Linked DNA regions of Notamacropus eugenii. The main gene of each other region encodes a partner of the protein of the gene in region 3 in a complex. Links are inferred from orthologs where the notes say so. Each region holds a gene or a part of one and is shown on either strand. Other genes may lie near its edges.

Evidence for each region.
Region 1: INTS1 (region 3) and INTS9 share a complex: the UniProt entries of both Homo sapiens proteins name them as parts of the integrator complex. The link is inferred for Notamacropus eugenii from reciprocal best matches to the Homo sapiens genes INTS1 and INTS9.
Region 2: INTS1 (region 3) and INTS4 share a complex: the UniProt entries of both Homo sapiens proteins name them as parts of the integrator complex. The link is inferred for Notamacropus eugenii from reciprocal best matches to the Homo sapiens genes INTS1 and INTS4.
Region 4: the proteins of INTS1 (region 3) and INTS7 are in contact, whole or in part, in a cryo-EM structure (PDB 8RC4), measured with the Homo sapiens proteins. The link is inferred for Notamacropus eugenii from reciprocal best matches to the Homo sapiens genes INTS1 and INTS7. Residues at the interface, in NP_001073922.2 of Homo sapiens: Leu1378, Gln1381, Gln1382, Gly1385, Gln1386, Ala1389, His1429, Phe1430, Leu1431, Cys1433, Pro1434, Arg1437, Gln1438, Cys1440, Gln1441, Pro1476, Ala1479, Gln1480, Met1483, Leu1484, Gln1487, Arg1552, Pro1554, His1555, Leu1556, Glu1557, Glu1558, Pro1613, Ser1614, Gly1616; in NP_056249.1 of Homo sapiens: His150, Asp151, Leu187, Ala188, Thr189, Pro190, Val191, Lys194, Thr223, Ser224, Tyr225, Pro226, Ser227, Thr228, Asn262, Asp263, Pro264, Arg265, Lys266, Pro303, Tyr304, Gln349, Glu350, Cys352, Tyr353, His354, Asn355, Arg357, Ala360, Gln384.

Annotation. Positions count from the first base shown.
Region 1 is NC_092872.1:608,467,099-608,473,929, forward strand, and holds the start of INTS9 (integrator complex subunit 9), read right to left. Parts: upstream 3,015-6,831; 5' UTR 2,722-3,014; coding exon 2,713-2,721; intron 1-2,712. UniProt on the Homo sapiens protein: Component of the integrator complex, a multiprotein complex that terminates RNA polymerase II (Pol II) transcription in the promoter-proximal region of genes.
Region 2 is NC_092876.1:125,486,404-125,494,349, reverse strand, and holds the start of INTS4 (integrator complex subunit 4), read right to left. Parts: upstream 3,007-7,946; 5' UTR 2,681-3,006; coding exon 2,627-2,680; intron 528-2,626; coding exon 333-527; intron 1-332. UniProt on the Homo sapiens protein: Component of the integrator complex, a multiprotein complex that terminates RNA polymerase II (Pol II) transcription in the promoter-proximal region of genes.
Region 3 is NC_092874.1:388,117,282-388,124,914, forward strand, and holds the start of INTS1 (integrator complex subunit 1), read left to right. Parts: upstream 1-4,617; 5' UTR 4,618-4,742; coding exon 4,743-4,803; exon of another isoform or gene 4,804-4,823; intron 4,824-5,143; coding exon 5,144-5,239; intron 5,240-6,499; coding exon 6,500-6,790; intron 6,791-7,633. UniProt on the Homo sapiens protein: Component of the integrator complex, a multiprotein complex that terminates RNA polymerase II (Pol II) transcription in the promoter-proximal region of genes.
Region 4 is NC_092873.1:426,295,552-426,303,471, reverse strand, and holds the start of INTS7 (integrator complex subunit 7), read right to left. Parts: upstream 3,006-7,920; 5' UTR 2,877-3,005; coding exon 2,783-2,876; exon of another isoform or gene 2,775-2,782; intron 1-2,774. Other genes in the region: DTL (denticleless protein homolog), read left to right, coding at 3,261-3,405. UniProt on the Homo sapiens protein: Component of the integrator complex, a multiprotein complex that terminates RNA polymerase II (Pol II) transcription in the promoter-proximal region of genes.

The DNA.
Region 1 (6,831 bases), on a different chromosome or scaffold from region 3:
GTATTTTAAAGAGTTGTTGGACTAGCATTATACTTTAACTTTGGCTCTCCATTGTCTAATCAAATCTCTTTAAGTCATGGTGTTCTGCATCATCAACGCTTAGAGATTCTTCCTCCATCTGTGGTCCTCTCAAAGAAGGATGTAGGTAAAGAACATCCTACTATTGCCAATCAGCTCTACCTGAGGGACCTAAGAGCATCAAATCTCTAACACAAAAGGTTGCCTCCAAGGCTGGACACATCCATCTCAGGCTTGATGCTTGGTCACCTATGCTCACAGAAGGAATACAAAATACAAGAGATAGCAAGAGGCCTAGCTTAAGTCAATTTATGTATTTTAGCTGCCCTATATTCAAAGACATGATGCTGCTGGGGCGGGGGAGAAGATGAGCTGCCTTTCTCTCACTCCTCCAGGGAACAATTCAAAGAAGTCTCATATTTGGCAGATGGGAAGAGAGAGCCAGAGGGCAGTCACTTTTTTAAAGTTCTTTTCCTGGGTGGACCACTTTCCTGGATGAATGATCTGTATGCTTTATTCAGACACTCTCTGCTGCCATCATGGGATCAAGGAACCAACAAAGGGACTGTTTCTTCATTCTAAGATGCCCAAATCCTTCAACCATGAGCCTCATTTGGGCTGCAAGAATCAACCTGGGTACCTCAGCACATGCTTTATGGGATAAAATTCCAAACCAATCCCAGGTACACCAGTGCAAGAAATAATCTCCTTAATACTGTCAACTATTACTACTGTGTGAATGTATAAATACCTATGTGTGTATGTACAACTCCCCCATGTTCCCAACAAACACACAGAGCTAGGTGGCACAGTGGATAGAGTGCTGGGCCAGGAGTCAGGAAGACTCATCTTTCTGAGTTCTATGGCCTTGGACACATATTAGCTTTGTGACCCTGGGCAAGTCACTCAACACTGTTTCTTTGTCTTAGTTCCTCATTTGTAAAATGAGCTGCAGAAAGAAAAAACCCCAGTTATCTCTGACAAGAAAACCCCAAATAGGTAAACGAAGAGTCAGACCCAACTGAAACAAACAAACAACAAAATATATATGTGTGTATATAAAAATTGCTCTGACTTTAAAACATTCACTTCTGATGTAGGACTTTCTATTCCAGTGATTTGTTCTCCTAATTCCTTTAAAAGCCATGCTTAATTCCATTAGTTGTCAGTATTTTCTTCCTCCTCTAATAGTTATGTTCCAGTTACAACTCTCAGTAGAGTGTAAGTTCTCTGAGGGCAAGGACATTTTTATTTTGTCTTTTGTGTCTCTGGCACCTTACATGGTGACTTGTACATTTTTTGTTGACTAGTTGTTTCCAGTCACGTCCAACTTTTCATGACTCCTTTTTGGAGTTTTCTTGACAAAGATACTCGAGTGGTTTGCCATTTCTTTCTCCGGCTCACTTTACAGATAAGGAAACTGAGGTAAACAGGATTAATTGACTTGCCCAGGTCATACAACTAGCGTTCCCGACTCCAGGCCTGGTCAAGAGTTGCCTAGGGTTAAGCAACTTGCTCTGAGTGGCACAACCTACTGCATGTGTCTGGGCACGACTTGAACCCAGGGCTTCCTGGATCCGAAACTAGCTTTCTATCTACTGTCATTCTGCCTCTGACCTTGTACAAGGTGAATGATTAATAATAAATTCTTGTTGGAAGGGGCTGGATGCTCTTTCTAATTGTCAGGTCATTGCTAATGCTGTTCCTCTAGTAAGGAAAGCACAGCCCACTTGCTTGTTACATTTGGCCTAACTCCTATTAGTTCAACGTCCACCCTCTTTCTTCTCTGTTGTGTGGATCTTTCCTTTGCCTGGCACCAATGCCCTGTTTTATGTATCTTTATCCTGACTCTTTAACAAAATTATGAGCTCCTGGAATGCAGGGACTTTTTTTTTAACCTTCCACAACGTAGCTCAGTGCTGCACACACAGCAATCCCTAAACAACAGACGGACTGACTGGTAACAGGTACCTCCTCAATGTGATGGCTAGGACACTCATGGAAGATCTAGGAGGGATCCCTGACACGAGTTAGTCCAACAATTCTTACCCTAGGTTCCATGAATTTGATTTTTAAAATATCTAGATAACCATAGCTTTATAACTGTTTTTTAATCCTGTGGATTTTAATGTATTTAAAAATTATTCTGAAAAAAAATAAGAGGCTTCACCTGAGTGCCAAGTCAAGTGGGGTCAATAAGCATTTATGGCGGGTCTCCTATGTGCCAAAGGGTCCATGCCACAAGAAGGTAAGTACTTCCAATCCAGTTCATTTCTTTTGTTTTATAAAAGAGAAACCCAAGTCCAGCAAATTACTTGTCCCAAAGTTAGAAAGATGAGTGGGGGGAGTTTGAACTCAGGTTGCTATGATCCCCAAATCAGGGCTCTTTTCAACGCATTACAGGCAGCACAATGAAAAAGGTACATGCTTGTTAGACGGGGCGTGGTGAAGGCCTTGGCACAGGCCCGGGGCCAAACCCCAGCGGTCCGTGAAATGGGCTTAAGAGTTAAGTCCCACGGGCACGCGAAGGCTGCAGACCGCCACCCTCTCCCACACCAACTACCCTCCTCCCAGCATGCTTTTCTGCACCACCAATTCCCCCCTCCTCCCCTCGTTTCCTTTCCACATAAGAGGCCGTCGAGTTTCCAAATTCTAGCATCACCCTCGCCCTCTGACCCGCGAGGGAACACTCACCAGCTTCATATTGAAATGTTCGCTGTTAAATGTGTACGGCTGGACTCCTTCAATCCCTAAAAGAGACTTCCGGCTAAACCGCTGCCGCCAAACGTCCTAGAGCATGACGGAATAGCGAGTCTTTTTCCTCACTCCTACTCCCTCTGCCTGCTCCCTCTGGCTCCCAGAGCATCACGGGAACTGTAGTATGTCCGCGGCTTCATGATGGGAACTGTGGTCATTCTTCTTCCTTTTCCTCCCCTTCCTTTCAGAACTCCTCCCTCTGTCGGCTACGATTTATCCCCATCGCCTCTTCTTTTAACCTTTCCACACCCCAAGATGATATCATGTCCCCTCACCGGACCCAATGCCCGCGGTATTGTGGGACCTGTAGTCCCGGTTGGTGCTGAGTCTGCCTTTCCCTCCTCCCTATGGGGAAGAGGAAGGGCGCGGGCTTTGCCGGGAGCTGTAGTTCCCAGGGGCCGCTTGGTGCTGCGGCTGGTGCTTTTACCCCAGGGATCAGGGAACTACAACTCCCAGGGCCGCCCGGCGGCAGCAGGTGGGAGCGGGGCTGTTGATATCAATATGGCGGTTGTCAGCCAGACAAAGACAGTCAGTCTGATGTGATTGAGACAAGGGAGATTTTCAGGGGGAGACTGGGAGATAGGGGCCTCCCCTCCCCCTTCCCCTCCTCCCACGTCGGCCTCCACCCCCTTCCCCAGTCCCCCTCCCGCCGGGGACCCCGTGCGGAAGACACCCCTCCCCCCCTACCTCAGCCCTTCTTCTTGGGACGTTGGGGAGGGGGTTGCCCGCGAGGCGGAGAGAGAACTCAGCCGGGCTCCTGAGGTGAGTGGAGCGATTTTCTCCAGCCGGATACCCCGAGCCTCTCCCCCTCCGCACTTTCCTGGAGGTCTCGAGGGTGGGGGTTTGGGGGGGTGGCAGCGGCGACGAGGTGTCTGAAAGGGGCGTCTGGGTAGGTGACCGGAGTCCGGGGTGGGGCAGGGTTATTTTTTCGGGGAGGGCGGGTAACTCAAAGGCACCGGCTGCCTCCACTCCCGTCCCCTCTAACTCTGCCGCCTTTGCCTGCGGGCGGAAGATGGGGGAGCTCGCGGGGTGAGGGTCTCTGCTGGAGTTTGAGAAAATGTGAGGCGGTGATTCGAGGGGTGTCGGTGCGCGCGCGTGCGTTTGGTTTTCTCAAGCGTCCTTAACTTTGGGGGTGGGGGGGCGCGAGGGGTGCCCCGGGGCGGAGGAGGCCGGCGCCCGGCGAGGTGGAGGCGCGCACAGGGACCGGGGGACAGAGCGGGGCCTGGGCTGCCGAGCGGGTTCCGGCCGCGCTCCCCGCGCCTGCCCCACCGAGGGGCTGGCCGCGGGCTCGGGGGGCGACCGGGGACTAGGGCGCTGCCGAGGTGGGAAACGAAAAAGTGCCCCGCGTCTTCTCTTCCGGAACCGTGTTCCGGTGACACCGTCGGGGCTCCTCCGAAAGGCGTCCGCCGTCCCCCCCGAACCGTAGGTTGGGGTGCCTCCTCTCGAGGTGAAAACGGCTTTTAATTACTTGAGGGTGGTTTGGGTGTTATTGTTTGTAAATATTGTGTTTTTTTAAAGAATGTGCGAGGAGGGGTCGTTGTCAAGGTGGGAGGGGGCTTAGTGTGAACAGTTCAGAATCCCGGCTTCCCGACTGCCGGTCCTGTGGTGTCGGACTCGGGCTGGTAGTAGGACATCCAGCGGGAGGTAATGCTTGGGGGCAAGTTACAGATGCTGCTCCCTGTTCCCTCTACCCCACCCTGTTCCTCCTCCGCTGTGGCTGGAGATCGGGATGTGGGAGAGCAGGGAAGAATGCTTTTGGTTTTTCAAGGAGAGATTCTGTGTCCAATAAAGTTGACTTAGAAACAGATTGTATGGTTGGTTTACACCGGGGGTTAAAAGTCCAGAAGTGTCTGGCCAGGGAGGTGACTAGCCAGTTTCTGCCGGGGTCCTTCAGGTGCCCACAACGTTGCCCTCCCTTGGGTCTGTCTTTTTAGCTTATCTTCTTTCCTTTCTTCTTCCATCTGCTTATGGGGCTGCTGACGTTTCCTGGGTGTTGAGAATACCTTCTGTGCCTTTTTATTTGTTCTTTTTCCCCCCGATATGGTTGTATATTGTTTGGCTTTGCTATTCCCCGAATCATTAGAGGGGAATAATCTGCATCATTTTTTCTGCCAGCTCTGTCAGAGGTAATTATCAGTTTAGCATTGCGGTTTCCTGCATTAAATTTCTTAATTCCTATTTTTTAAAGCCTAGTTATTTCAACCATTTGAATTATGTATATGCATCAAAACTCTGGAAAAATTATTTTAGCTACTTTTTAAAAGTTTGATTACTATTATAACATAGTATACATTTTACTAGTATATATTATAATATATACTACAATAACATTTTTAAAAATTGTAGCTTCAATCACATTAGCGTTTCTGACCGTTTTTAAGGTGGCATTAAGTGATGGAAATCGAGTGTTGAACACTTCGTTCCATTCCCCAAGTGAAGTTTTTTTCTGGAACGTTTGCTCGTTTTCCTGTGAGAGGGACTCTTGAATGGAGTTGCTATAATTTTTTCAGGTGTTAAGAAAATTAAGGTGTTCATATGCATTTATCCCAAATGTACTGGTTCTTGATACTCATTGTTATGCTGTCATCGTGGGATCTTGGAAGCAACGAAAACCTGAATTCCCATAGCTACTGTGATCTTTGATACGAAATTCAGACTTTCTGGAATGGGTCATTCACACTAATAAACAGGCTGGTAACTGCAAATGTGAGAGATAACAAGTGTATATTTAGGTTGACCTATATAGAAACAGTTAATGTTTTTTCTAAATCTGAACTTTATATTCTTGAATATTTTGATCCCCTCCAAGACCATCATTGCAGTTGTTAGATGTTAAGTTTTCTAAAATTTTTTGCTTACATCTTATTAATGTTCATTAGAATAATTTTGAAAATGAAACAAAGCCCTTTAGGGAAAAGATCTTATAAAACTGTGCAATAGAAAGTATCTATAGAAATTTATGTGTGGAAATTAAATTATTTAGAAAGCAAAAGAAAAATGAAAGTGAAAAGATAAATATCAAGGAATATCTCTTAACCTGTCTACTTCCCATTGCTCTGTTTTTCAATTAACATTTATTGATTTACTTCTTTGATGTTTCTTTTGAAATGAGAACAACATATTTTAGGAAAAAACTCACCAACTTTCCTATCCCTGTGCAATATTTGAGTTGAAATGTTGATTTGTAATTCATGCTTATTCAAGTGAAGTTTTAACTATTGCATTTTAAGCATTGGTTATTGAATTGCTGGAACATTGTAAAATCTTCATTGCAGGTTACAGCCTAAAACACTCTCAGCATGTGGAAGTCATATGGTCTGCGAAAAGAAGTGGAAAATCAGGGCATTGGTTGCCTGGCCAACTTAAAATTTTGTCCTGTAACTGTGAAAGACACATTTATTTTCATGTGATCTCATCTAAAAATGTTTCCTGTAATATGTGAATGTGAAAATCTGCACTGTTTTAACTGAATCTGTTGCTTATTTAATGCAATAGATTTACTGAACTTTTATCTGCAAACTAACGTTAAGACACCTTTAGAGATCAACTTTAAAGAGTGTGTGTGTATGCATGTGTGTGCCTGCGTGTGCACACATGCATGCATGTGCGCATCTGTGTGTAATATTAGAATTGCAGGATGATTTTTGGAAGTCTTCTAATCCAGTTCCCTCATTTTTCAGATGAGAAAACTAAAACTCAGCAAGGTTTAGTAACTTGCCCAAGGTCAACTAACAGAGTGAGTTATGACAGAGTTAGGACTAGAACTCACATCTCCTGATTCTCCATCCAGTATTTTTCCATTCTTTTTTGGTGAATCTTCAGTTTTTAGTATTGTACATAGTTCATTGTTCATCCTTACTTTTTCCTAAATTAGATGTAATAGTATAATGAATGTATACTAATTTGCTCAAGAAAAACTTATAATAGTTCACCCATGGCCAGTCACATAGATGCACAGCTGATTTGAATACAAGCCTCTCCAAATCTCATATTTTCCCTGCATATTACTTGTTATTTTAAGATGTCTTGAAATAAATCTTCATCATTATTGCAGCC
Region 2 (7,946 bases), on a different chromosome or scaffold from region 3:
TGACACAGAGACATGATGTGAGCATGTGCTGCTGGAAAAATGACACAGATAGACCTGCTCAATTGCATGGTTGCCACAAACCTTCAGTTTGTAAAAAAAACCAAAAACCTGCAATATCTGTGAAATGCAGCATCTGGTAAGACCTTTACTTTCACACCATCATTTCCTCTGGTTCTCTCCTCCATCCAATGTACAATTTAGCCAAATGTCTCAAGCCAGTCTAACTTGGCAGGTTCTTCCCAAGGTTTATCACTCTTCTGACCCAGACTTTGAGAACCCAGAATGCCCCACAAAGAGGCATCTCAGGAGGAATTCAGGGGTAGTCTCCTTACCTTGTAATAATGTTCCAAGAGAATTCTGACAACTCCCTCCACACTCTCGGCCTCCACTGGTTTTCGAGCAAATTGAAGGAGATACTGCAAGGCATCTGCTGGGGAAGTGGCTTTGCAAAGATCTATGTGGAGTGCTGCTGACTTACTTGGTTTTGTCAGCCGGAGCTTCTTGGTTGCAATTTCTTCATGTTGTTGCTGCAATGGATTAAAGCAGATTACCTTGGTGAAGGAAAATAAGAAAATAAAAATCCCTCCAGTCAACTCTCTAAGACTAAATTACAGATGAGTTGCGAAGTTCTATGGATTCTGTGTTCTCTCCAGTGAGTAGCAGTGCAGGCACATCAGGAAGCATCACCCAATAAAGGCTTGTTAACTGATTGATTCCATGAGACTGACCTCCCCACCTCAGATGTTACACGGCGCTTTGTTTTACATTTCTCTAATAGACATATTTGGCAGCTAGGTGAAGAATATAGAGCTGCAGCCAAGAAGACCCAAGTTCACATCCTCACACACTTACTAGTAGTATGACCCTGGGTAAATCACTTAACTCTGTTTGCCTCAGTTTCTTCATCTGTAAAAATGAGCTAGAGAAGGAAATGGCAAACCATTCCAATATTTCTGCCAAGGAAATCTCAAATGGGTCACAGAGTTGGCACGACAAAAAAAAATACACTTAGGTACTGCTTAAAACTTAGAACACAACAAGTAAGTGGAATCATTCTTAACTTCTCCCTTTCTTTCACCCTGACATTATCCATTCAGCTGACAAACCTCTACCTCCACATCTCTACCATTTGTCCTGCTTTCTCTACTCACACAACTTGTTCATAGACCTTCATATGCTCTGGTCTATACTACTGTTGTTGTGTTTGTCCTTTGTTCTCGAAGAAGACCATGGCATCAAGATGATGACATGACTTGCAGTTGACTTTGATTTGAGTGAGGGAGGGCTGTGCAAGGTCACCAGCCTCACTTTCTCCTCCAGAGCCATCTGAATCCAGTGACCAGATATTCATCAGGATGACTGGAGATGGCCCAGGATGTAATGTGGAACCCTGGCCCTTTCAGGCTAAGGTCACACTCTCACTTTGAGTGAGATACACCTATTCAATGAACAGCTTCTTTAAGTTACTCAAGGTATGATCAAAATGATCTGTAATCAAAAAAAAAAAAAAGGTAAATCTTCTAAACTGGTCTTCCTACATTCAAACTCTGTTCTCCAAATTCATATCCCAAACAACTGCCAAATTCATATTCCTAAAGCAGTCTTTAGGATATCTTGTTGGTACATAGTTTTTAAACTTCATCTCTCTGAATAGACTATGAACTCTTTAACGGAATGGGCAGATTTTACCTCTGTTGTATTCTCGTCCAGCTCACTCACCCATTTTTAACCTCATGCTTTCATTCAAGAAGCTTCGGTGGCTCCTTATTCCTTCCTGGATACAATACAAACACCTCTACTTGGCATTTAAAGGCCTTAACAATTTGGCAGTACCCTACCTTTAAGGCTGATTATATGTGATACACCCTGTTCCACTTCCTCTCCCTATTTTTCCACGGCTTGTCCCCCTAGGCCTGGGAAGCTCTAGAGTTCCTCACTTGGACACTTCTACACCTGCCATCCAGAGCCACTTTCTACAGTGGCTTCCTCTAGACCACAACCTGGGAGATGTAACTTTTTATTCATTTTAGATACTTTGTATCCACAATTCTGCCTACTGTTCTTTTCCACCCAATACCACAAAACTTCCCTTAGTATCTGCCTGAGCTACAAGCTGCTTCTAGAACTACCTGGCTGTGCAGCCCATTGCAGAGATGAGCTGGCCGAGCCCCAAAGAGTAGTTTGTGTGACTTCCACATTCCTCCGCTACAGAGGGAGGGATGGGACCTGGGTTCCCGTTATCTCCTAGGACTGAGCTATCTCGGGAGGAGCACGTTTGGTGATCACACAAATAGGCTGGGCCCAGCACAAAAGCCAAAAGGTAAAGTTAGGCTGGAAGGAGCTTGAACTTCCCAACAGAGCTCTGGGGGCTGGGCTGGGCGGCCTCTCAAGTCCCCCCCAACTCAGCTGACCCTCACTGCTTACAGCCCTAGCAAGAACGCTACGAGATGACTGTGCCCATTGTACAGAGGAGGAAACTGAGGTCTGGAGAACAAGGGATCGGCGAGACCGATGCGGAACTAGGAGCCGGCCGGGCCTCGAGAGGAGCCCTCGGAGGTGGCGCCCCGGGACCCACGGTCCTGCTCCCCAGCTGCTGCCGCAGTCCGCCAGGCCGAGGGCCGTTTACCTGCACGACTTTGGTGAACTCTTCATACACCCGCTTCTTTAGATGCGCGGCCATGGCGGCGGCTGGGGCAAACAGCACCTCCAGCGCCGCCTTTCTCTTCCGGGCCGGCCCTTCCCGGCCGCCGTAGCCTCGACCGGGCCTCCCCCCACCCCCCCCCCCCCGCAGCCGTGGAGAGTCCCGCTGAGCGCGGGAGGGGAAGGGAAGTGGAGGTCGGAGCTAGGACTGGGACTCCAGTATCCCACAATGCAGCGGGGAAGGAGGAGTGGCGTGGATAATGTGAGCTTCCCTTCCCCCTCAAGGCGCTCGATCTCCCGCGCCCGCCCCCGCCCCCACTCCCCCTGCAACAGATGAGCCTCGTGCGACTTCGGGAATGAAAACAAGAGGAGGAAAGAGACAGGAGAAGAGGTGGAGAGGTAGCAGGGAGAGGGGGCGGGGCTTGGGTGGGCAGGTAGCCAGTGAACGAGGGCGGCCGGCCGCGGCGCGTGGTAATTGGGTGGAGCTCGTGGAGGGGCGGAACTGAAGGTGGAGCGAGCGGAAAAACGCGGAGCCGGGTTTGTCCCTGGAGCAGGAGAGAAGTGTGGTTGAGTGAGGGAGGCGCTGGGTGGGGGCTGGGCCCGGGGTGACTGAGGAGAGGATGCCCACTAACTAGGGCAGAGTTTTTGTGAAGGGGAAGGACGGGGAGAGCTATGGGCGAATGTATGAAAAGAAAGAATGTCTGGGGGAGAGGGGGAGGGGAAGCTTGTGTGAGGGGGGAGTGAGGGATGGTAGAAAGTGGGGGGGTGGGAAGGGGCGTGTAGGGAGGCGGGAGGAGGAGAGAAGGGGGAGGGAGTGAGGGATGAAAGGGAGTAGGGGATGCGGGGGATGGGAGGGTAGGCAGAGGATGGGGTGAAGATGGGGGCTGGGAGGAAAGAAGGAGGGAATGTGAAGGGAAGAAATGGAGGAAAGGAGAAAGAAGAGAGAAGAGGAGGATACGAGTGTAGATGGTGGGAGATAAAAAGAGTGAGTGTGGTGGAGAGAAAGCGTGGGGGATATCTGATGGGAAAGTGGGGGACAGGAGAGAAAAAGACCTATGTGAAGAGTAGGGAGGAAGGGTGAGGGGATAGGGATTTGTACGGGGAGGTTGTTGTTGTGTTTGTCCTTCGTTCTGAAGAGGACCTGTGACATCAAGATGATGACATGACTTCCAGTTGACTTTCATTTGACTAAGGGAGGGCTGTACAAGGTCACCAACCTCATTTTCTCCTCTAGAGCCATATGGATCCAATGACCAGATTCATCAGAATGACTGGCAACAGCTCAGGATGCAATGAGAGACCTTGGCGTCTTTTAAGCCAGGGGACATGGTAGAAGAAAGGATATGTTAGGCGTCAAGGCATAGAGAAAAAGGGAGTGAATGTGGGGTTATGGTAAGAGGGAGTGGGAGTATGTGTGAAGGAAATGGGGGTGAGGGGTCTGTGAGTTGGAAGGGGAGTTGGGGAGGATCTGTGTGAGGGGAAAGAGACTCAGATGACTCCAAAGGAGAGAAAGAGGCTGTTGACTTTGCACAGCCCTCCTTCACTTCAGTCACTTTACTTGCAAGTGGCAGCATCACCTATTATCTTCTCCATGCCACGAGGACAGAGGACAAACAGAACAACTACAAGCTCTGGCAGGGGTTTGTAGGAGTGACCTATCAATGAATGTTATTCTTTGAGAACCCAAATTGGCCCCATCACTGGCAGTGGGGTGCCCACATGATGAGATCAGTCTTTTCTGGTCAGAAGAGAGACAGAAAGAAAGGAATCTAGTTAGATGCTATGACAAGAGAGAAGGAAGAGGACGCTAACTTAGAGTGATAGCAAGAGACTGTAGTGCAGCTTGGCATGGTAGTAAAAACACTAGTTTAGGGTTCAAATGCCACCTCTGATGCTTATTACTAGTATAACCTTAGCCAAGTCTCTTGATTTCAGTAGTCTTAATTTCTTCATCTGTAAAATGAGGGAGTGGGATTATATGACTTCTGAAATCCCTTCCAGCTCTAGATTTATTAATTTGCTAGCATTTCAAAGTAGCAGGAGTTCAGTGTTGCAGGAATTTAAAGAAGAGAGAGAGATTAACAAGACTTAAAAGGTCATGAATCTAGAGCTGGAAAGTACATCAGAGACCGTCCAGTCCAACTGCCTTATTTTACAGATGAAGAAACAGAATGTAGTGGTTACATGACTTGACTAAGATAAAAAAAGATAGTAATTTCAGATTTGAATTCAGACTTGACTCTAAGGTTTTGAGTTGGTGTGAATGAGAGATTTTAAAATGCCATTAAAAGAGAAAAACCAAGAGGGTCAATAGGTTGGGAGAAGGTTGTGAATTCAGGATATGTTAAGTTGAAAGGGGATTTGGAGCTTTGAGCGGAGGGAAGAAAAAGTCTTGGGAGTCATCTGCATAGAAGCAGTGGTTGAAGCTGTGAGAATATATGCATGTGCTTTCTGAAGAAATGTACTGAGAGAAGAAAAGGGGTGTAATGATTGAATTTTAGTGATTCAATTAGGGAGCAAGAGAAAATGGTAGAGAAGGATGAGAGAATAGGCCAAAGACATATGGAAGCCAAGAATTTCAAGGAGGAGAATCCTTGCCATCCTTATCCCATAAGACATCTGGAAAAGCAATAAGAGAGCAGTTAGGCAGTAGGCCAATGTGTCTAGCCTTGAGAATGTCATGGGGAATAAAGTCCCTGATTGTCTCTTATTCATAAGAATTCCCAACAGCTGTGCTAATTCTCTTAAGCTTCCCACTTTGTAATCAGAACTTTAGCAGGTAATTGTATGAAAAATGAAACTTGCATTTTAACTGTTACCTAGGACTGTTATTAACAATCTGTTCTAATTCATAGAATCCTATATAAACTGCTTCCATTTAGACTGACTTGTGAAAGACTGGGGTTAGAAAAAGTTCAATTTACATCAGAACTAAACTTTCAAAATATATTTAAAGGAACGCTGTTGGTGTGAGTTAACAAGGATCGAGGGTCCTCATGATCCTCCTAATGAAGAGCAATAGAAATATCAGAAAGAAACCTGGAACTGACCAAAAAGGCAACAAATTCTAATATTAATTTTTTTTTAAATTACTGAAAGAAGGGGGAAATGCCAGAAAGAAGGCACCCTGAGACAGTGTCAGAAGTTACATCTAAAACAACACAAAGAATCTTTGGAGATGCGCTGACACAGATCAAAGGCACATACAAGGAATTAAAGAAGAATCAAACTTAGAAAAAAGAGTCCTAGAGGAAATAAAAGAAGAAATGAATGCAGCTAAGAAATCCCAGGAGAACATAACAAGCAAACAAAGCCAGATAAAACTAGAAAATAGCTTAGAGGACTTGAAAATTTCACTGGATATAGCTAAAAGCAGAATTAATGCAGTGGAGCAAAGAGCAGCAAGATAATGCAATTGAAGGAGAAAAGCCAATTCAAAAAATAATTCACCTTGTGAACTGATCCATTCTGGAGAGCAATTTGGAACTATGCCCAAAGGGCTATAAAACTGTGCATACCCTTTGATCCAGCAATACCACTGCTAGGTCTGTATCTCAAAGAGATCCCCCAAAAGGAAAAAGGACCTGTTTGTGCAAGAATATTTATAGCAGTTTATAGCAGATAGAAACCTAGGGGGTGCCCCTCAATTGGGGAATAGCTAAACAAGCTGTGGTATGATTGTAAAGGACTATTATTGCACTATAAGAAATGACAAGCAGGGTGATTTCAGAAAAACCTGGAAATACTTACATTAACTGATGCATGTTGAAGTGAACAGAATCAGGAGAACGTTGTACACAGCAACAGCAATATTGTTCAATGAAGAACTGTGAATGACTTAGCTATTCTCAGCAGTACAATGATCTAAGACAGTTCCAAAGGACTAATGATAAAACATGCTTTCTGCATCCAGGGAAAGAACTGATATTGACTGAATACAGACTAAAGCATGCTATTTTTCACTTTATTTTTCCCTTTTATTCAAGTCTTACAGAATGACTAATATGGAAATGTTTTACACAATTGCACATGTATAACCTGTATCTTATTGCTTACCATCTAAGGGAGGGAGAAGGGGAGGGAAAGAATTTGGAACTCAAAACTTTAAATAAAAATGTTGAAGATAAAAATAATAACACATTTGTGAAAAATATGTAAGCATTGCAGAATAATGTTATAGATTGAGAGAACTGATTAAGGAAAGGGAACCTCAGAATTATTAGCATCCCAAAACACATTGAAAAGCAAAATTATCGGGTTGCCTATCAAAAAAGTTCCCTAGAACTATTTATAATGGTACTATTAAAATGGAAAATATGAGGAATATAAAGATATTCAAAATACAGCATTGTGAAGAAAGTAGATGTAGAACAGCAACACATATTTTGACTACTTTCTTCAAGGATCCATGCTTTCATTGGTGAATGTATAATGTATACTCTTCATTGACACCTGTCACCACAAGACCCTCTATGCCGTAATAGAAAGTTTCATGATTTGCTGTGACTAAAAAATTCATTACTTTGTGATCAACCTCCTAATTGATGAACCTTTCTGAACTTAGCTAGGCTGATCCTTGAATAATAAATGTAGTCAATTTCCAGACCCATATTAAAGCTTTTCCAGAACTCGTACTTCCTAGCATATCCTCAAGAACTCAGGGTGACCATACCATGAGGAGATGACAATCACTACAAAACTTCAAAGATAGAAAAGGACTCGGACTTATTGTTGTCAGTTTGTTAAAATGTGTTCTTTAAAAAAATTAAATAGTTTTGATTACATGGCTTTCATTTAGTTTTAAATTTTTGTTTGCATTTGCTGAGATTGTTGAGTTTATAATTTTTAAAAGAAAAGAATACATATAGATAATTTAACACTGATTTTTAAACATGCAAAATTGATTTGCCATGCAGGGTCTTGTGCTTTCTAACAGTCGAATGAAGCTTATAGAGTAGGTAGGTGTCAAAAACAGCACGTTTCTCTACCCACCTTGATGATCCCTGGCAGGATTTTTCTCAGTAATTTGGACCCCCAAAGACCCCTACAAAGATATAGAAGGCCTCTCCACCCTACAGATGTCCGCACCTGTAAAGATTTTCTTTTTATAAATAAAAATGTGTTTATTCAAATAAATGTTTGTTTCTTTGAGGAAAAACTTGGTGTCATAAGGAACCATTTTAAGTCATGGGATATGACATCATCACTAAGCTAGGGTCCCAAATACCACTTCCCAAGAACCTGCTTGCCACATTTGTGTTGATCACTGGGGCACATCCTTTTTTCTAACAGTAGTTTCTTCATCT
Region 3 (7,633 bases):
TGCTCCTGGTATTTCTTCTGGAGTTGCTGGGCAGCAAACACCATATTGACTGTTCTACAGTCCTTTCTGAAGCCACACTGGCTCTCAGGTATATGACCATCCTTTAGGTGAAGGGTCAGCCTATTAAGGAGAACTCTAGCCAGAACTTTGCCAGCAATGACTAAGACAGAGATCCCCCTGTGATTGTCACAGGACTCTCTATTCACTTTACCCTTAAAGAGATGGACAATGGAGATATCCTTGAACTCCTGGGGGATAACCTCCTCTTGCCATATAATCTGGAAACTTTCAAACAGCTTTTGTATGATCAATGGGCCCCCTACCTTGTAAATCTCAGCTGGAATAGAATCAGCACCAGGTGCTTTGCCATATGAAAGGAAGGATTGACTTCAACCTGAGGTAAATGGTCAATGACCTCAGCATTGATTGATGATGGTTTACTGAGAACACTAAGGAAGTGCTCAGCCCATCTCTCTAGGATCATGTCCTTACCACTAATCAATGTGGCTCCATCAGCACTGAGTAGTTGTGATGCACCATAGGTTTTTGGTCCATAAATAGCTTTCAGGGAATCATAAAAGCACTTTGGATTGTTACTATCAGTATAAAACTGAATTTCATCTGCCTTCTTACTGAGCCAGGAATCCTGCATCTTTCTAAGCTTTGCTTGTACTTTGCTTTTGATGGAATTAAATGCTGCCTTTTTAGAGGTGGATGAACTATCCTGCTGGTAAATCCTGTGGAGTTCTCATTTTTCATTTAGCAGCTTCTTAATTTCCCCATCATTTTCATCAAAACAGTCTTGGTGTTTGCAAGTGTTCTGACTTAGATGAGCAAATGCAGTGCTGTACACCAAATCTCTAAAAGCTTCCCACTCCTTTTCTGCTCCACTATTGCCAACTGTGTGCTGGCTCAACTATCCCTCCAAGTCAGCAACAAACTATTTGCACCCAGAGAAGAGCTCTAATTTGTTGAGATTAACTCTTCTGGTGGTCATTTTGCCTTGGGGGTGGCACTTTTGAGGAATGAGAATATTTAGCTTGGAAAGAATATGTCTATGATCACTCCAGCACTCTGCACCGCACATTGCCTTTGTCACTCTCACATCTTGTCTGTCTTGTCTCCTTACAATCACATAGTCTATTAGATGCCAACGTTTGCTGTGATGGTGCATCCATGAAGTTTTATTGCATTTAGGTAAACAGAAAACAGTGTTGGTGATGAGAAGGTCATGCAGTGTACAAGTCTTCAGCAGTAAATGACCATTGCTGTTGCTGTTTCCAACTCCATTCCTCCCTAGGACTCCCTGCCAAGTCTGGTAGTCTGAGCCTACTCTAGCATTAAAGTTGTCTGGAATTATAAACTTGTCCTCTTTTGGCACACTGACGATAAAGGGTTTCCAGGTCTCCATAAAATTTTTCTTTGATTTCATCAAGGTTTGTCATGGTGGGAGCAGAGGCACTGATGATGGTGGCATGGCATTTTCCTGTGAATGGCAATTGCATTGTCATGAGTCTGTTATTCACTCCTTTTGGCAGGCATACCAGCTTTCTTACTAGCTTAGTTTTGATTGCAAAACCCATGCCAGCTTCATGGCACTCCCCTTCACTACTCCCACTCCAGAAAAAGGTGTATCCATGCCAGCTTCAGTAAGTTGATCTTCATTTGCCAACCTTGTTTCACTTAAGGCTGCTATTTGGATGCTACATCTGTTGAGTTCTCTTACAACAAGAGCAGTTCATCTTTCAGGTCTACTGGATTTTGTGTTGTCTGTTAGTATGCCAATGGTAAGTGGAATCATCTTTGCAGATGTTTTCATACATTTTGTACATTTTTTTGTGTTTCAACCACATATTGGGATTCCCTGCCTGCCATGGTAATCAGGCCAGGATTGAGTACGCAGACAATGTTTAGGGCATCTTTTCTGGCCCCCTTCCTCACACCAGGAGGTGAGCAGTGCGATCCTTAAAAGGCTGCTCAGACACCCAGAGGGCTGCTGAGTCCCACTGCTGCTTTCAATGAGAAACAACCCTAAGGCCTGAGCTGCCTGTGTGCAGGGTTGTGACTACAGCTCCCAGTGTAGCTGCACCTACTGCTTCATCACTTGCTTGTTGCTACAGGACTTTGAGGCATAATAGTAAAATGGTATGGGTGATGTCTTTTGATTTGTGCATAAATGGGATTTAAGTGAGCAGAGTTGCACAAAGTCGTCAGCCTCACTCTGTCCTCCAGCGTCATCATAGTCCAGTGGCAGGACAGAGTCGAGATGGCTGGTGATGGCTCAGGCTTCAGTGGATGACGTTGGCATCTTTGGTGTCTAACCATGCTCTAAGCACTCCACATTGCCTGCTTCATCTGCCTTCATGGCTGTTCGAACAAATTGTTCTCATACGCCCATTCCACCGGAGGAAGTCTTCACATGTTTGGGGTAGACACCCCCCTAACTCACTAATGGGTTTGAGAACCCTTGGTTACCCTCAATCTGGTTTGACTGGTAGGCCAAAATGGTTTACCAGGTTGTGGCCGCTGCACATGTTGCAGCTTCTTGGATCCACAGGTGAGAGTTAGATGGAACAGGTGGACACAAAAGGTGGAAGCCATCACACCAAAGGCACTGGTCCTCCCTGAACCACCCTACACCCCAACAATATACATACATATACACATACATATATATACATACACACACACACACACACATATATATATACGTATAAACGCATATACGTGTGTATATCTCCATATCCCCTTTTACCTTTCCAGTCTTCTTACTTCTTACTCCCCACCAGGTATTTTGCATTCTAGTTATACCGGCCTGCCGACTGTTTCACATCTCTCAGCTCTGGGCATTTTCTCTGGCTATTCCCCATGCCTGGAACATCCTCCCTCCTCTACTCTGATTATGGACCTTCCTGACTTCCTTTAAGTCCCAATGAAAAACTCTTCTACAGGAAGCCTTGCCCAACCCCTCTGAATCCCAGTGCTCATCCTCTTTTAATTACTTCCTATTTGTCCTGTATAGCTTGTTTTTGTTTATGTGGTCTCCCCTATTAGACTATCAGCTCCTTGAGGGTTGGACTGTTAGTGCTTTAGCACAGTGCCTGGAATACAGCAGGTACTTAATGTTTAATTGAATGAATGAACATCTGACCACTCCTTCTGAGTCTTCTTTGCTCTGTCTTCATGGAGGTCATGCTTCTAACCACAGGTGTCCCATAGAGCTCTGTCTGGGCCCTCTTCTCCTCTCTATATGGTGAATCTCATCAGCTCCCACGGTTCAATTACTCTCTCTCTGTTGATTTTTAAACCTACTTATCCATTCCTAACCTCTCCTCTGACTCACATCTCAACCAATCATAGGATAAGTTGAACTAGATGTCCTGCAGACATGGTACACCAGATACACCCCAAAATGAACTCATTATCTTTTCCCCAAAACATTCTAAACTTCCCTATTACTGTCACAGGTACCACCATCCTCTCAGTCACCAAGGTCAAAACCTAGGTGTTTTTCAGTCTCAGGGCAACCCCCCATATCCAACGTATTCATAAGCCTAACCCTACATGATGAAAACCCTAAGACTGAGAATATAATTATTGCATGGGAAAGATCTAAAGAAGGACAGCCCATTCCTAGGCACAGGGGGATAAGCAAAGGCCTGGGAGAGGAGGCCTCTGACACGGACATCACAAGGAGGATTTCAAGGCTGGCAGAATGGTTGGCCGAGTCGCTTGTCTGTGACACAGAGGCCATGAAGGAGACTTGCGTTAAGGAAGGACAGATTGTGGAAGGCCCTGCATGACAGGCTATTCATTCTAGAGGCAAAGGGAGGCCCTGAAGGTAAAGCTGAGCGGCGGGTTTAGGTAGCAGAATCCACTGAGATTAGAAAGGAATTTTTATTACGTATTTATAACAGGTAAATGTACATTTGTATATTCACTTATTCAACATGAATTTACACGAGGACAGAATGAGACGCCGCAGCATGAATGGGGGACGTTCTCGGTGGATCACCTCTTCTCCTTCGGAACCAGCGCGATTCCCCTTCACCCGGACCTTTCCGGCACCGCAGGCCCGCTTTGTGGGGGGGGTGAGTGATGACTGGTGAGGACGCCCCTCCTCACAAGGCAGATGCGCGCATGGAGAAGCTGGATCCGCGTGTCCGAGGCAGGATCCGAACCCAGGCCTTCCTGACTCCTGACGGAGGACGGGGGATCCCCTCAATCCCTCCCTGCACGTCCCTCGGCGGGGGGCAGAGGGGGGACGTTCTGGCTAAAGGCTGGCAAGAGAAAATCCACGGATGCCCACGTTCCCCCCTGATCCTTATCCCTCCCACGGCTGGAGAAGTCCCAGGGAGAATGAGGAAGGCTCCTAGACTGCTGGAGCGCTTGAAGGGAGGGGACAGAGCAAGGCTGCCACCGCCGCTTCGGGGCAGGAGAAGGGACTCCCCGGCTCTCCCCGGTCCGGAGCATGCGCGGTTGGGCACGGACCCCTCCTGGGGAAGGGGCGGGGCGGACCAGAGCGAGGCTGCAGTTCCGCCTCCCGGCCGCGTGACTTCGGGGAGGCGCTGTCGTCACGGCAGGCCCCGCGCTAGGCTCCGCCCCAATCCCATGCTCCTCCGAGCTATTTTGGTTCCGGGACGGCGCGGAACTCGAGGTGGGGGGAGAAAGAGAGGAGAGAAGAGAGAGAGGGAGAGAGAGAGAGAAAGAAAGAGAGAGACGGAGAGAGCGAGAGGAGGCAGATGAGTTTCCGGATCCGGCGCGGCGGTGGCGGCGGTGGCGGTGGTGGCGGCAAGACTGAGGGTCCGTGTTGTGGGCTGTAGGTGGGTGAGCTGGGTGCATTCGCCGGGACACCCCGCCGCCCGGGCTCGGACCTCGGGCTCCTTTCTCCGGCCGGAGACGTCACCCTCCCCGGGCCCCGCCCGGCTCCCTCTTCCTGAGACGACGTGCACCCCCCCCTTCCCATAATCCTCTTCGGGGGAGGCTCCCCTGACCTCAAGGCCCCCCCTCTGACCACCGCTCCTCCCTCCCCGCCCCCTTCCCCTCTGGCCCTCTGAGCCACCGTAGGGGCGTCGGGCCCCCTCCCCCCACCGTGGCCGCCTCCGCGCTCCGGCCCGCCTGACTCCCGCCCCTCTCTCCGCAGGCGACCCCGCGGCCCCCGGGAACGCCAAGCTGGGCAAGATGAACCGAGCCAAGCCGACCACGGTCCGCAGGCCCAGCGCCGTGGCCAAGCCTTCTGGTGAGCGCCGGCCGCTGCGCCCCGGGTCACCCCCCCGCAGTGCCCCCATCCGTGAAACGGGGGTGTCGGCGTTGAGAACTCCGGGGTGACAAGGCCCGGAGGGCTCTGTGCCTCGGTCTCCTCATTTGTAAAATAAGGGGTTGGGGCGTTCCCTTCAGCTTTAGATCTGAAATTCTGTGAGTTGAGGAGACTGAAATCCGGACCCAGCGGACCTGGGTTCGAGTCCGGTTCTGTCACTTTACCCCCTTGGGCCTCAGTTGTAGGACTCTTCAGGCCATTCTGTGTCTGCACAGAGGATTTCCCAGTCTTAGCGCAGTTTTAAACTTGTAAAGAGGAGAGCTGCATGAGAACCTTCGCCGGTGCCCTGTGTTACTGGGCGCGGAGCTGGGACCTCCGAGTCAGAAAAGACTTAGGTTGGAGTCTCTGCCAGTGATTTCAGTGGTCCTTCCTCCATGGGCAGTTCATCTAACCCTTCTTCCCCTCGGTTTCCTCCTCTGTAAAGTGGAGACGGTAATACCCCAGTATACATAATAGTATATATTTATGTAAGACGTATCTCGAGGCAGAAGGGAAGTGATGGAAAGTGCTTTGCAAACTTTAAAGCCCTACATACAGTTTCTGTTATTGTACACAAAGAAAAGAGTGAGAATATTTGCTGAGATAAATTTCTGGTTTTTTAATTCTGATTAACGTAGTGCTTGTAGTAAACTAGAATTCATTTAAAAGCCAAAGACAATTCTTAGAAAATGAGCCTCCAAAAGAAGTCGCCCAACCCCATAGATGCCCTCATGTCTTTTGTGCTGTGAAGCCTTGATCTCAGATTGCAGTTTAAGGAGAAATGGTATAGCTTTTACAGGAATGCGGGTTAATTTATAAGAGAGGCATGATATAGTGGAAGGAACGCTGGACAGTGGGTTAGGAGACATGGATTCTACTTCCAGCTCATTACCTGTATGACCTAATGGGTAAATTACTTCACCTCTTGGCCTTAGTATAAGATTAGATTCAGGGGCAGGAAACTGTGGCCTTCTAGGTCCTTGGGGTTTGACCTTTTGACTGAGTCCAAGTTTTACAGAACAAATCCTTTTATTAAGGGGATTTATTCTGTGAAGTTTGTATTTAATCAAAGGGCCCCACTTGACCTAGAGGGCCACAAGTGACTTTAAGGCCGGAGGTTCCCCACCTCTGGATTAGATGATCTCTACGGGGACCCTTCAGTTTTGGGATTCTGTGATTTCTCTCTTTTTTTCTCTTCTGTAGGGCACCCTCCACCAGGGGATTTCATTGCATTGGGCTCAAAAGGCCAAGCCAATGAGTCAAAAGCAACAGTAGCATTGCTGAAGCCAGCTCCCTCAGGTTTACCTTCTGAACGGAAGCGAGATGCTGCATCTGCGTTATCTGGAGCCTCAGCCCTGACTGGCCTCACAAAACGTCCCAAGCTTTCCTCTACTCCTCCACTCAGTGCCTTGGGGCGCCTGGCTGAGGCGGCTGTGGCAGAAAAACGAGCCATTTCCCCCTCTATCAAGGAACCATCTGTGGTACCAATTGAAGGTAAAGTAATTTTCTGTAGACTATTCCATGTAACAAGTCTTATGGGTAATCAGTTCAGCAAGTACTTAACTGAGTATCCACTGTGTACTTAACACTGTTTGAGTCACTGTGGGACTTGAGAAGTAGCTTGGTGCTTTGGAAAGAGCATTGGACCTGAAGTCAGAAGAGACCTGGATTATGAAATGGGGAGGATATGCTTTTTCACAGGGTTATTGTGAAACTCAAATCAGTGAACATATGTAAAGTACTTTGTAAACCTATATAAAGATTGGTTAAGTCTACAAAAACTCAGATGATATGTGCAAAGCACTATATTAGGGATACTGAGATAAAAACAAGCCAACAGCCCTTGCCCTTGAGGCCCTTTCTTATAATAGGGGATCCATCATGTAAACAGGTAAGTAAATATGAGGTAATTTGAGGGAGACAGAGCACCAACAACTGGGGAGATCAAGAAAGACTTTTATTAAGTAGGAGGTGACATCTGAGTTGAACTTTGAAAGGAAGCTAAGGATTCCTAGAACTGGTGGTTATCAAGGAGTGTGTTCCAGGTTGGAGGAAGGGGGGGGGGGGCAATGAGCATAAATGCAGGGGATGGCAAGCTGAATTCTGGAAGTGGATAGTGTCGAAAATTCTGGAAAGGTAAACTGGAAACATTGTGAGGCCCTTGGGAAAGTTGTTTAACCTTTGTAAGTCTAAGTTTTCTCCTCTGTAAAATGAGGGGAGGAAGTCAGTGCAGAGGGGGAGGTCAAATATGAGAGAGAGCAGTGGACCAGACAATAGTCCTGAGGAATAGGAACTGGACTCAGGAGCACAGGTGGAAGGTCGACCTTGGCAGATAGG
Region 4 (7,920 bases), on a different chromosome or scaffold from region 3:
TTTCCTTTTGCATTTAATGTCTCCAAAGCTTAGCACAGTGCCTGGCATGTGGCAGGCCTTTAATAAATGTTTACTTAACTACTGACTAATGTGCTACCTCGTCCTTTTCTCTCATTCTCAAATCTCTACTGCATGGCTTCCAGAAAGCTTCATCATTCCACTGAAACTCCTCTCTCCAAAGTTATTAATGATCTGTCAATTGTCAAATTCAATGGCCTTTTTTCAATCCTTACCCTTCTCAACCTCTCTGTAGCCTTTGGATACTATTGATCACTCTTTTTTCCTTAACACTCACTTTTCTCTTGGTTCTAGTGACATAACTCTCCTGGTTGAGAGAAATGATTATCAATAACCAATGATTTGAGGAGATCCAGAGTTCTCCCCCTTTTCCAAAGTCCTGATTTTAAAAGATCAGACTAATCATGAAAGATTACTAATGAGCTAGGATTCAGAAACCACCCAGGTGGGAAAGCCACAGTGCCCTATTCAGGTCTGAGTAGGGATAAAATCTTTGAATAGATTGCCCAAGGATAGAACTAACCTAGAAGTAAAAGTCATAATCAAAGTTCAGGTCCAGCCCCTCATTGCACTATTCGTTCTCTCATTTTTAGTCAATCAGACTTGATTGCCACCCTGATCTCACCCCTCTTCCAATGGGCAGAGAAGCAGTGAGCCTGCCCCATGATTATCTCTGGTCTAAAAGAGAGACAGCCAAATTTAATTAAAATTAAGATATTATTAATAAAATTATCAAATTATCCAGAAAATTATGTCTCTTGAACCTTTTTAAAGACCACATGGTTCCCTTACCAATCTGTTCCTTTTCAGTATCCTTTGCTGGATTTCCATCCAAGCCATACATATCCACTAACTGTGGGGGGTTCCCCTAAGGTTTTGTCCTAGACAGAACATATCTCCCCCATACTGCTTTACATAGTGATCTCTTCAGTTCCTATGGATTCAGTTCCTATGTCTACACCAACTATCTTCAAATCCACTTATCCAGCCCTCACTCTCTCTCAGCCTAGCCCCCATATTCAATTTATTGCTTATCTTTTCCCACCTTACAACATTTCTAGAGTAGGCCCCTTCTCTTCTCTAACATGAAAACTACTTTGGTGCTGGGCCCTCATCACCTGGACTATTGCAATATCTTTTTGCTTGGTCTCCCTACCTCAAGTCTCTCCTCCAATCCATCCTTCACTCTTCTATCAAAGCTGTCTTCTTGGCCCACATCCTCACCTATTCAATCAACACCAATGGCTCCCTCCAGGATCAAGTATAAAAACCTTTTCCAAGTTCTTATACCTTAATCCCTCCCTCCTAACTCTGCAATCCAGTGGCACCTGCTATTTATTCCTCACAAGGGACACTCCTTCACCAGCACATTTTCCATGGTTCTCTTTCTTTCCTCTGCTTCTCTCATCTTCTGCAGGAAACCTTCCTTTAGTGCCTTTCCTTAGACATTATTTCCAATTTATCTTGCAGATGCCTTGCTTACACACAGTTGTCTTCTCCCATTAAACTGTAAGGTCCTTAAACCCAGACAACTGGTCTTATTTTCTCCTCAGCCTTTCAGTGCCTGGTCTGAAGAAGGAAGCTGGAGTCAGATTCTGGAGGGCTTTAAGTGCCAAAAACAAAATTTTTTTCTTTACCCTTGAGAGCCACAGGAGTTTTTAGAAATATAGACGTAATTGTGCTGGTTCAAAGCGTATGCCCGGTTTTCCAGTCCTTTAGGCACAGTCCTAAATTACTCACAAGACTGGCTGGATCAGTTTACAATTCCACCAACAATGCATTAGTGTTCTAATTCTTCCATATGCTCTCCACATTTAACATTTTCCATTTTTGCCATATCAGCCAATCTGATAGGTGTGAGGTGACACCTCAGAGTTGTTTTAATTGGTATTTCTCCAATCAGTAGTGATTTGGAGCATTTTTTCATACGAGTACAGTTAGCTTTGATATCTTCATCTGAAAACTGCTTGTTCACATCCCTGGACAAACTTGTCAACTGGGGAACGACCTGTATTCTTGCAAATCTGACCAACTTCTTGCGCTGGGTAATAGAAACAGCTAAGGCGCTTTCAACGTTTAAAAATAAAAACCATTTGTTCTACTTTGCTCTCATAGGTGAGTCAAAAACAGTGACAAAAGCCCTTCCTCCGCGGTATTCGCTGCAAATGCGACAAACCCAAGTCCAGAAGGTCCATCAATCCAAGCTAGGGGGCGCAATGCAGAGGCGGTGGGCCAGGAGTCAGGGAGACCCGAGTTCAAATGCGACCCCAGCCGTGACCCCGGGGGAATCCTTTAACCTGTGGGTCGTTAGCCGCTTGGCCCAGAAAGGCCTGATGTGGTCCCTGGGAGTCGGAGACGACCCAACAATCAAATGCCGGGCTCAGAAGGCACGTACTTTTAACAGGCCCAAGATTTTTATAAACCAGTTCGACTTTGGGGAAGCTAAAGGTTTGACAGCAGGTGCGTGGCTGGCGCGTGAATCCAGGGCTCCACGCCCCCGGCCCCGAACGCTTTCCCCTTCCCCCTCCAAGCCCTCCAGCTTGAGGCTGCGGGCATTTCAAAGTTCACCTCCCACACCTCCCGCGACCCACGGAAAGCGTGGAACAAACCGTGCCAGCTTCCGAGAAAAAGGACTACCCCCACTGCCAAGGTTACCGCGCATGCGCCCCTAGCTCGTCTTCAGGCCTCGACCAGCTGGTGGCGCCATTTCTCCCCGTCCTTCCCCCCCTCCCATTTTGACGCGGACGGTTAGCTACCGTGATACCTTTATCCAGTTCCATGAGGGCTGAGTTCGCATCCAGTTCCTGTTCGCCATAGCCGGCGTCTGCCAAGAAAGATTTGCTCGAATTCGACGCCATGGCGCTCTAACAGTAATTAGACAAGCCTATTCAGGATTAGAAACTCCGCAGCAACGCAACCATCTCCCTCCAATTTGTTCTCGCGTGTTTTCTTCCCCCCTACCTCGGCTTTCTGCCAGCTAATACCGCGCATGCGGCCTAAGTGCTCCGCCGTTCAGCCTTTCGTCTTCACCCGGCGCAGGCGCAAACGGAGCCAATAGCCACTCGCCCTGGGGCTTCCTCAGTGGGAGGAGGGAGGGCGGGTGAGAAGGAGGCGGGGATCTCGAAGGAGGCGTGGCTTGCGTCTCAGCGATGGAACGGCAGGAGCCAATCAGGTGGCGTTTCGTCAGTTTGGCGCGGAGTTTGTTGGCTGGAGCCGGTGGTGGCGGGAGTTAGCCGGTATAAATGGGCTGGGGACGGGGGAGAGGGCGTGGGGGCTGTAGGTTTTGCACCGCCTGCGGGTTTCCTCTGCTCCCCGGCCTTTTCCCGCCGCCTCAGATGCTGTTCCATTCGCTCCTCCGCCAGCCCCGCCTGGGCGCGATTGGGAATGGTAAGTAACGGTTCTAACGGTCGCTGGCAGGTCGGCGTCCCCAGGTCTCGGGCTGCCTCGCTCTCCCCCTCCCCTCCGCTACCCGGGCGCTCAGCCCCCCTGATCGGAGCCCCGGGCTTTCGTTGCGGCCGGGGCGCCCCAGGGGATGGAGAGAGCTTGCGGTGACCCCTCCCCCCGCCCGCCGAGGCTGGATGGGAACTCGAGGACGGCTGGCGGCTTGGAGTGCGCTTCCGAAACCGCGGGTCCAGGGCTGTCTCTGCGGGATGAGGGAAGGGGTGATCCCTTGAGATCCCCCTTAAAAAGTCCGAGCCTTGGGCGACTCTGAAAGCGCTAGATTAGCGCTAACTTAGGTTCATGTTTCTCCTTTCCCGATCTAGTTTCCCAGACTCGGCTCAGATCCCACCCGCAGGGGCCTGCCCTAGTCCTCCCCCCCGCCCCCTCCCATCCTCCCTCCTCACCTCCCGTTTACCTACGACGTATCCTGTTTGAACAGGTTTTTTACATGTGGACCCTTAGAACACGCGCATCTCGAGGGGCCCAGATCCCACCAAAATCTCGATTCCGCCTTCCTGGAGGCCCTTGCTCTGGGGCGAGCTCGGTGCGTGCCCTGCGTGCTGATGGTTCCCCGTTACCCTGGGAGTGCTTTACACCCCCAGAGCGGCTCCGAGGAGGAGCTGAGTGAATCCAAACCTGGGGACTTGGGGCAGGCACCGAGTGTTTGCCTCTTCTTTGTATCCCCCGGACTGAGCCCCGTGTCTGGTACCAAATAAATGGTTAAATTGTTGTGGATTGTCCGGGAGGGTTGCGAGCTCAAGGACGCCTCGGTCCTTATCTTCCTGCAAGATTCCTCCCCCATCTCTCCTCCATTTAACTCTGACTCCTAGGCCTAGAAACCAATTCTTATCTTATCTCTTCCTGTTCAGCTCTCCCCCTTCGAATTCCCTGATTCCCTTATTATACTTGTGCGTATCCGTGGTGTACCCCTCCTACCATTATATTACAAATATCTTAGGGGCTGAGACCCCTTTCATTTTTTTTCACCTTTGTATTTCCAGTACAATTCCTTGCAAGTACAAAGTGTCCCAAACCTCTTAGTGCTTAAAAAACTGCATTTTTGAAACATCTTATATTAGGCTCTTAATAAATGTCTGTTGTACTGAGAGATCTATTTAGAATTAAAACCTCTCTAGTATTCAGATTGACTTTGTTTGGGGCAGACATTCTTACAGATGAACCAAATGCACAACTTAGAAACAGCAAAACAGTTTTTTAAAGCACATTAATCAAGAATATGGAATACTTGCTAATCAAGCAAATGTTAATTTTATGGCACTAAGTACTGCAGGTGCCTGTTTTGATGGATGTACAAAGAAGTACAGGTCACTTGAAAATTATTTGTGTTTCAAAAGTTCTTTGTAAATTGGTCGAGTTCACACATTTCCCCACGGAAACAATATTGTAAATTGTGGTTAGATTTCTTACCTGTTTAATCCACAATGAAGATGAAATAGTACCAGACGGTATTATATTCTGATTAGAGAACCTAATAACCATTATATGGCATTGTTTCTGTGGGAAACGAGAAGGAAAGGATTGTGATAGCATTATTTGAGTGCTTTTCACCTCTCTTCCACCATAGTGAAATAGAGCAGCTTGGCAAGTAGTAAGAAAGGAATAATATGCCTTAGAGAATTCTTCCAAAGAAAGTCTGTCCCTGGCGCAATAGTATGAATTGACCATTTTTATGTATAAGGGATTTGTGTATCAGAGAATTCTGGTTTAAGACATGGGTTCTTGGATCTCTATTCATCTACAAAATATTCAGTTATCACTTACATTTTAAAATTAAACTCTCACCTTTCCCCCAAACTTAGTGTCCAATCTGGAATTTCTTCCCTTTCCCACATAGTCTCCTCTTTCACTATTCCTAATCTTTTGGAATACAAACTTCTTTGAGAGCAGTCTCTCTGCTTTTGATTCTGTATCCCCAGGACAGCACAGTGCTTTGTTATGGGGTCCCCTGAACTTGTCTTTTTGAGTTGCCATATTTTCCAGAAACACTAGACCCAGAGCATGCAGGAGGCCAGCCCTGCATGTGTTTGGGACAAAGCTGCCCCGCAGCTGACATAATTTGTTGTTTGCACCCGGACCTGGATTACTGTGTGTCCTTGGGAGACAAGACAGGCACCAGACAATCTGTGCCAATCTGGGAAAATATTTGTGCAGCTGGGGTCCTTTGCAGATAAGCAGGACTCCTCCTATCAAAAGATTGGGGGGGAATCATAGCCTCACCTGCATTTGAGGGGCCTTGAATAAAAGTAAAGGGTTACCTAACTTCAGAGGGGCACTGAATAATTTTTCTTTTTGGAAAAGGGGGCAATAGGCTAAATAAGTTTGGGAACTTATGGTTTAGTGGTTTCCAAGGTAAAAGAATTTGGCTTTTGCCATCACCTTGTTCCTCCCCTTCAGGAGGAGCTTTACTGCACCTTTCCCCTCCCATGTCATACCTTTTAGGTGGAAATATATGTTTTTTCCTCCTCCTTTTGTTGTACTGTCATAAATATGCAAACTTCTGTAAGGACTGTGAACTCTTTGGGTTCCACATGCTTGTTCGTTTCTCTTGTAAAATAAAACTGGTTTTCACATAAGTCTCATGAGGTGATTGTTGACCCCTTGGAATAAAGTACATGTTTTTCATTCATCTAATCAGATTTCAAATCCTATTGATTATTCCTTCCTAATATATCTCATATCTGCTTCTTTCTTTCCATTCAGATTGCCACCATTCATGTCGAAGCCCACTTTATCTCATATCAGAACTACTGAAATAGTAATCTACCTGCTCTGTCTCTAGTCTACCACTCATCTTTAGCAAATTAATCTCCCTAAACATTGCCTTGCTTATGTCATTCTTCTGTCCCCTCTGTTCAGAAATCTTAAAAAGACTTCCATTGCCTATGCTATTCTTTAGCTATTATTCAAAGCCCTGTTCAACCACTCCCTTTACACACACCTATTTAAAATGGTTAAAACATAGATTGTTGATATCATTTGTTTTTAGCTTATCTATATTTCCCGGTATTTCCTCCTTTCTGGAGAGCTATCCTTTATAACTATTATGAAAAGTGGCAAAATTAGTCAGCATTTGAAAAAAGTCTGATTTTATAGGTAGTATTCCACATCAATAGTTCTTTACCTTTGCAAGGAAGGCAGGGGAAGTACACACACATCTAACTTTATATAGAGAACTTCTCTAAGGAATCTGTGTAATCAGCCCAACCTGTTCTTTTCATGTTGTCCACATTCCTGCCTCTCTGCCTTTGCAGAAAGATTAGAAGATTGTTACAAAATAAGTTAGAAGATTGGGTACATCCTCCATGTACTTACTGGAAAATATATTATCCATAATAAGGCTAGGGGAGGAGTGAGAGGGATGTGTTTTACATTTATGGAGAGTCATCATGGATCCAAAAAAGAGCCAAGTATTAGATCAGAGGTGGGCAATCTGTGGCCTTGAGGCCACATGTGACCCTCTAGGTCTCCAAGGGCTGCCCTTTGCCTGAATGCAAACTTCACAGAACAGATCCCCATAATAAAAGGATTTGTTCTGTAAAAGTTGGACTCAGTCAAAAAGCTGCATCCAGGGACCCAGAAGACCACATGTGACCTGGAAGTCGCAGGTTCCCCACTCCTGTCTTAGGTCCTGACTTTCCTTTCAAAATCAATTTTAAGTTTCATCTCCTGTGTTTCCCAGTTTCTCCAATGAAAATGTTTTTAGTACACCTATACTGTTCATTTGCCATTGATTCTACGCTAAGAAAGGGTATTTGTTAAAGCCAAATCTGTTTGGCTTTAACAAACCTATATCTCCATATCTTTATGTGTAAGTGTAAGACATAATATATTTCTTGATACCCCTAACCTAATATATAATCAAAAAAAGTTTGTTAGATGATGCCCTTAGGGAGTTTATTTAGGAAATAAGACTACTGCCCACAACAAGTATAATAACAATAGTGTAAATAATAGTGTTTGTTGGTCAGTCTGAAAGTAGCAGTGGAATGGAGGATGTAATGGAGTTGGGAGAGACTTGAGGCAGGTAGGCTCAGTTGGCTATTGCAAAAGTCCAAGCATGAAGTGATGAGGGCCTGCACAATGTTGGTTACAGTGTCAGAGGAGAGAAGAAGGTATATTCCAGGGATGTTGCAAAATTGAAATTGATAGGCCTTAGCAACAGATTGGATTTGGGCAGTGAGAGAGCATGAGGAGTTGAGGATAACACCTACTTTGTGACCCTGAGGGCCAGGGAGAGTGGGGTTGCCTTGGACAGGTAGCACAGAGAGGGTGTAGAGGGAATGATAGTGAGTTTAATTGATTTTAAGTCTACTGAACATGCAGTTTGAGTTGTCTGAAAGGCAGTTGGAGAAGGGAAATAGGCAGTCAGAAGAGAGGTTAGGACAAGATGGGGAGATTTGAGAGTCATCAGCGTTATTGTTTGGTCGTGTGTGACTCTTC